Linked DNA regions of Callithrix jacchus. The protein of the gene in region 2 purifies or fractionates together with the protein of the main gene of each other region. This does not show direct contact. Links are inferred from orthologs where the notes say so. Each region holds a gene or a part of one and is shown on either strand. Other genes may lie near its edges.

Region 1 (4,197 bases), on a different chromosome or scaffold from region 2:
TAATTCAGGATGCCCACCCCGTATGTCAAGCCGGCCCCATACCCAGCTACTCCCTTTGGAGAAGATTGCAGCTGCTCCTCAGATGAACGAGGCCTTTAAACTCCTCATGGCTCCCTACCCACCACACCAGTGTTAATCGCTCCATCAGGGGTCTGTAGGAAAGGGAAAGAAATTTGAATCAAAAACTTACTGTTTTTTGAATAATTGAAACAACCAGTAGGGAGTGTGCAATTTGATGTCTTTTGCAAAGAATGTTTTTAGGGACAGGGCTTTTTATCCTATCATGTTTGTTCTTTGCAACTAATTATTTAATTTTAATGGCACTTTTCTTAAAATTTTTATTTACATTATATTTTATATTGCAAGAACTTCAAATACAGCCCTCTTAATAAGTCTGTAACGGTTTTGTCTTTACCCAAACTGAGCTTTTGTAGAAGGATATAAGGAAGTCTCTATTCTTTACCAAATCACATCCAGTTGCTTTCTGTCCCTGATACCAAGGGTTCATTTCTTCTGCCTTTAGCCAAAAGAGGGATACAAGGGAGAAACTCTTTATCTTAGAAAAACATTCTGCATCTTAGATTTTATAACACTTAATGGAGTTAAGGATCTGTGTTGGAAGATCTTATCACTTTGTGTATAGTGTTACAAATCATAAATAAAATAAAGTATAAGTTTTCAGCTGATGAAAGTATGTGACAGGGAAAAAGGAACCAAGTCCTGGTGTGACTGTTCTCTTCTTTTTCCTCTCCAATCCTATTAATAGCAAGAGTATTGAGAATTCATGCAAAATTCCAAACCAAGTTCCCACAGGTAGCACTTAGCTAATGTCTGCACACCATTTTCAATTGGAACTAGTTTATAATGTAACACAATTAACGTCATTATAATTCGGAGTTACTTGAGTGGTTTTAATTATTTTCGTATCAATTAACATTGCCATGGAAACAGTCTCTTGCTAAAATGGCTTAAGTCTTCACACATTTAATCAATATCCAGAGGCAGATTTAAAGACTTGAGGTGTTTGTTTTATTTATTTGTTTGCTTTAAACTATTCAAGGACGTTTCTGGGTACACACGGCAGTTACTTAAAACTGTAAATTCCAGTTTTCTATGACTTCAAGTTATTTTTTACACTGCAAATAAATCCTGCCCAAAAGATCACTTCTAGCTTTCTGGATTTTTGTTTTTGTTTTGTATTGAATTGTATTTGTGTTGTATCCGGATTTCTGTTAGAGGAATTCCTTTGCACCAATTTCGCCACTGGACAAACCAACCAGGATTCTTGGATTTGAGCGCTTTGGCGCGGACCGGCCTTTTCGGCCCCAGCGGGCTGCCGTAGCAGAGAAGAACACTGATTGGCTGAGGCAGAAAAGTACCGCTGCCTCGCCGGTTTCGGTTTCGATTCGATGAAGTCCGCGGAGCCCGGGCTCTTGGGGCACCTGTAGTGAGGATTTTGGATCCCGCCGACGAGGTGAGCCGCGTGGCTGCGCGAGCCGAGCAGCCTCGGAAACGGCCTGCGGGGAGCGGGCTGGGGCTCCGGGGAGGGACTGCTGGGTGGTGGGTCCCCGCGAAATGCCGCTTCCAAGCTCTGTGTGCACGTAATGGCCGGGAGTGATCTGTTGGTGGGCGCCTGGAACCGCCGTCAGCGAGGCGTCTACACTGCGCCGAGAGGAGCGGCACCGTCCCGGCTGGCGTCGATTTGGCGTTCGAGACTGCACGAAGTTGTTCGGAGGTTATCGAAATTCCCCAAGGGAACCCCAGCGCTAATCCCAGGATTCGGCGGGAAAGCGGATCCCGAATCTAGGCCTAGGCTTTGCCTGGATTCTTCCAGGCTTCAGAGAATTGCGAAGCCTACCCTACATCGGAGTGGCTGCGCCTAACCACAGGAATTAAGGACTGGACTAACCTGAATTACCGAGTTGTCTAGTCGGGGAACCCCTTGTATGGTCTTAAGTCCTATCGCCAGAGGTTTTCTATGTGTCCGCGTTTGTGCCCCGGCGCGTGAATAGCGGGCATTTTTGTTTAAGGTGTGTAGGATTAGGATGATTGGAATTACCCCACCCTACTGCTCTTAGTAATACGTGACTGTTGTAGAAAAATTGCAAACATAGAAGACTTTAGTGAAGAAAATAATATTCGCTGAACCCTTTCACCTGCCATCTTTTTCTCCTGTATGTACCAGCGTCTACTTGGACTAGGACTGTTCATGTTTAATTACTTAACAGTGTAGTTTTCCAGTTCCATTTAAAAACTCTTCCTAAATATTATTCTAATTTTGTATCTTCTTTTGAGTGGCTGGCCCATCATTGTGGATCCCAGTGTAGGTCCCATAAATTATTCAGTCATTTCCCGACTGTGGGACATTTGGTTGTTTTTGAATTTTTGCATCATCTTAGCATCCCAGATCATATTTTGATAAACATTTCCCCCCCATCCTGTAGATTATTTCCTTGGACTAGATTCTCAGAAGTGAAATTATCAGATAGATGCTGTCATCCATAAGGTCTTTAGGCTTTCATGCACATTGCTGCAGTGTTTTCCAAAAAAGTTTTAGAGGTGGTTGGCAGTTTTACTTGCTTGAATATTGTGCAGAAATCTTGAGAGGCTTATGTCTGTAGTGTGTATCACTGGAGTTAACTGCAGTAGACTGCCTGAATGTTAGAGCAGGAAGAGACCTAAGTGGTCATCTAGCAAAGCCCCCTTATTTTGCAGATGAGGAACCTGGGGCCATGAGAGGTGAGATGAGTTATCCAAGTCACACAGCCAATTAAGTAGCAGAGCTGGGATTAGAACTGAGGTTTCCTGCCTCCCAAGTGAGTACTCTGTGCTGCATCAGGCAGCCTCTCACTGAACTGTGGCATAGTAGATATTAGAATTTAAAAATATGTTTACATCACTTGGATTATTCTCTTTTTTAAAAGTGTACTAACAGATTTTAATCATCAGAGGGATCTTTAGTACTGAAAAATTGTAAAGTGATCATTTTCATGGCCAAGGCTAGAAATCCGTTATTTAGAATGGCAACCCCTTCAAGGCTTTGACAGTTGTTTTCAGATTCTCTATATGTTAGAATAAAAAAAAAATCCCTGATAAATTATAATCTACACTCCATCATTTGGTTAGATGTAGGTGTTGGTTCTCATTTGCTATATTTGGGAGATTTCTTTAAAACTCCTCACTTTAAGGCCAAAGAACAATGTTGCTGGTTTTTAAATTTTTTTTATTTTAGGGCTTATAGCAGAGATTCTCAACTTCCATGGACTTTTTGGCCTGGACGCATTTGTTGTGGAGGGCCGTCCTGTGCATTGTAAAATGTTTAGCAGCATCCCTGGTCTGTACTCACTAGTATAGTAGTAGCACCACCTTCCTCAGTCATGAGAGTTCATGGTGTCCCCAGATATTTCCAGCTGTCCCTGAGCATGGTGGGGGAGGACAGGGGGGATTGCCCCTAGTTGAGAACCATTTGCTTATAGAAATTATCTGGAGAACTTTATAATGTAATGTATAGTGCCTTTGCCTCAGTAGATTCAGGAATTTGCATTTTAACAAGCATCTCTAGATTTGGATACAGCTGGTTCTTGAATGACAGAAACAGTTGTTTTCTCCGTCTTTGGTGCTCATTATAGAGATTACTTGATTAGTATTTGTTGAAGTACACACTTGATATTACTAGTCACTGTACCCATAGTTTGGGCTGGTGGGGGCTGGACAGGAATTTTGCTTGACACTGGCTTTGAATGTCACTTCCACAGACTTGGACAGTATGCTTAGATACCAGGGTTACCAAGTGAGTGAGATATTTTCCCTGTCCCCAAGAAGCTTAAAATTCACTGTGGGAGATCAGTCAGCAAATGGAAACATTACAAAACGGCCTGATAAGGGCCACGACTGAGAGTGGAAAGAGGTGCTTTCAGTGGACTAACTTCGCCTTTGGAAGAGAGGGAGAGAAGAGGCCCCAGCTGCTCGGGAAGGAGGGATTGTCTTCAAAAGACAGCCCGGCTCTCCACTGTGTCAGAGGGAGGAATTTAGAGAGCTGTCCTCGGTGTCTGATTGCCTCGTCAGACACTGCTATCTTAGTATCACGCTGCAATTACTTGGGTTCTAATGTTGTTTCCTTGCAATTTTTGCTTTTCAATTTTTTCCACGCTAAACTGTTAAGTACTCTAGAGTAGGTAAAAACTTACAGGTAAACAT
Region 2 (2,787 bases):
GCCATCACTATGGGCTTTCGGTCACTAAAATTCCATTTATGTTCCTTTTTGATAAGAACATAAGAGACTCAAGACTCAATTCAAAGGACTAGAAAACCTAATTAAATTAGCAGAAAATCTGAAGAACCAAGCACCTTAAGAACATGTTAGGTCTCATGGGGACTTAGTTTAGATCAGCCATGGGTGAAGCAGGAGCAAGAGCAACAGTTGATGTTGTTTCTCAAACATGAGTCTTCTGCAGTAGCCAGTAACTGGGAAACTCAGCTGAAAGCTCCCTCCTCAAGGCTGAAAATTTGTATTTCTTATCAGATACAAACATGAAAAGAGGAGAGGACCCTTGAGATGATCAGAATAAAAGTATTCCTTCCTAAGTAGCCAGTTACTTGAAACTGTGACTGAAGGGGGAAAATTCCAGTATGTGGATTCTAATACCTTTGAGAACAGAAACTTCATTTTTTCTATTCATTAGAGGCAACTCAAACTTGGAAATAACATGACACTTTTGAGATTCATATTTTATTTACAAGTAAATGAAGAATGTCCCTGTAAACTCTAATTCGGGACACAAAGAACAATATAAAGTAGTTGCTGGTGCCAGTGACATGTGAAGGAGTCTATGCCACTGTTTCTTGAAACAATGATTTTGCTATTTAAAAAAAAAAACCCACCTACATGATTTATTCATGTTTCATGTGTAAAAGAATGAAAAATAAGAGTGATTTTTCAAAACTCTACAGTCTCTGATCAACTGTGTGAGGTGGCCAGGATGTCACTTTCACTCAGTGACAGCCCCTACTCTTCAAGAGCAACAGCCTCTGGGCAAGACTTAGTACTCCTCCAGAGTATCTGCTCGAGGAATGGAAAGACCTCGGTCCTTCAGGGCCTGCACTTTCAGCTTCTCTGCCTCCAACTTGGTCTGCTGTTCCACCCTTTGCTCTTCTAGAATTTCTTCAATGGATACTTGCTGGAGGGGTGTGTCACTCTCCTTTTCCAAGTCCTACAAAAGAGACAGGTTTGAAAACTTCACCTGAAGACCAAGAATAGAAAACATTACCGATCTAAAGGCAGATGGATTCCTGTATCAGGCTCGAATTATTTTTCATAACTGTGACAGGACTGAAATATCCTTCTCCTAGGGACAGGTAAGTTTTTCAAAGAAGTGCCTGACAACACTACGATAAGATACATACTTACGATGAATGTGGTTACAGTGATCAGTATTTCTATAACAAAGCTTTATATGATCCAAAATCCCATATTAGGATTCATTTTCTATTAGTCAAGGATTAATCTCCTTAAAAAAAAAATTAGGGCTGCTTATAGACAGCTATCTCCCCGGCTGTAGAGAATCCAAGAGGGAGGTTATTGAGGCAGTGTGGCCTTAGAAAAATTTTTTAAAAAATTATTTTAAGGATGGGTGGGGTGGCTCATGCTTGTAATTCCAGCACTTTGGGAGACTGAGGTGGAAGGATCACTTGGGCCTAGGAGTTCGAGACCAGCCTGGGCAATACAGTGAGACCCCAACTCCATACACACACACAAAAAAGCAGATGTGGTGGTGTGCACCTACAGTTCCAGCTATTCAAGAGGCTGAGGTGGAAGGACTGCCTGAGCCTGGGAAGTTGGAGGTCAAGGCTGCAGTGAGCCATGAACATGTCACTGCACTCCAGCCTGGGCAACAGAGCAAGACTCTGTCTCAAAAATAAATAAATAAATAAAAAGGCAAAAATAAAAGGGATCCTCTTGCTTTCACCTCCCAAGTACTATAGGTATATGCCTGGAACTACAGGTATATGCCATCGCACCGGCTCTGTAGTCTCTAAACTATAACACAAGACTCTTTTTTTCCTTTATGGCAAGAAGTATTCTAGAGAAAACCTCAGCAGACCATTGAGGTTACTAAACCAATTTGGTCCCAATATTTTTCTCCACTATTAAAAAAATTGTTGCCTAATAAAAAATTCCTTTTCCTTATTTAAAAAGTACATGCTCATTGCAGATAATATAGAAAAGACAAATAGGAAAAATTAAAAAATCATCCATAATTCCAATACGGAGAATTAACATTTTTGGTTAATATCCCTACAATTTTTCTATGTATATACTGACTAAAAAAAACCCCAGCCAGGCGTGGTGGCTTACACTTGTAATCCCAACTACTCAGGAAGCTGAGGCAAGAGAATCACTTGAACCCAGGAGGCAGAGGTTGCAGTGTGCCAAGATCACACCACTGCACTCTAGCCTGGGCGACTGAGTAAGAATCTGTTTGAAGAGGAAAAAAAAAAAAAATTAGCTGGGCATGGTGATATGTACCTGTAATCCCAGCTACTCAGGAGGCTGAGGGGGGAGGATCACTTGAGGCCAGCAGTTTGAGGCTGCAGTGAGCCACGATCACACCACTGCAGTTAGCCTGGATAAGAGTGAGACTCTGTCTTAAAAACAACCCCCTCTCACCCAAAAACCCACAATGCAAATACTGACTGTAATTCATTTTCATTTACATGTGGCACAGTATGCTTAATATTTTTATTTTTGAATGCTTTATAAACATTTTTCATGTTATTTACTTTTAAAAATATGGAAGGCTTCATAAATTTGCATGTCATCCTTATGCAGGAGCCATGCTAATCTTCTCTGTGTTGTTCCAATTTTAGTATATGCTCTGCCAAAGCAAGCACAACATTTTTCATTTTATATATTTTTAATAGAGTCAGGGTTTCACCATGTTGACCGGGCTGGTCTCAAACACCTGACCTCAGGCAATCCACCCACCTCGGCCTCCCAAAG

The links.
Region 1: the proteins of LSM1 (region 2) and LSM6 purify together in Homo sapiens (co-immunoprecipitation; 3 studies listed by BioGRID and IntAct, counting the BioPlex papers as one, with this or other methods). This does not show direct contact. The link is inferred for Callithrix jacchus from reciprocal best matches to the Homo sapiens genes LSM1 and LSM6.

Annotation. Positions count from the first base shown.
Region 1 is NC_133504.1:50,820,501-50,824,697, reverse strand, and holds the start of LSM6 (U6 snRNA-associated Sm-like protein LSm6), read left to right. Parts: upstream 1-1,397; 5' UTR 1,398-2,030; intron 2,031-4,197. UniProt on the Homo sapiens protein: Plays a role in pre-mRNA splicing as component of the U4/U6-U5 tri-snRNP complex that is involved in spliceosome assembly, and as component of the precatalytic spliceosome (spliceosome B complex).
Region 2 is NC_133514.1:38,988,094-38,990,880, forward strand, and holds the end of LSM1 (U6 snRNA-associated Sm-like protein LSm1), read right to left. Parts: intron 2,677-2,787; exon of another isoform or gene 2,572-2,676; intron 998-2,571; coding exon 827-997; 3' UTR 501-826; downstream 1-500. UniProt on the Homo sapiens protein: Plays a role in the degradation of histone mRNAs, the only eukaryotic mRNAs that are not polyadenylated. Probably also part of an LSm subunits-containing complex involved in the general process of mRNA degradation.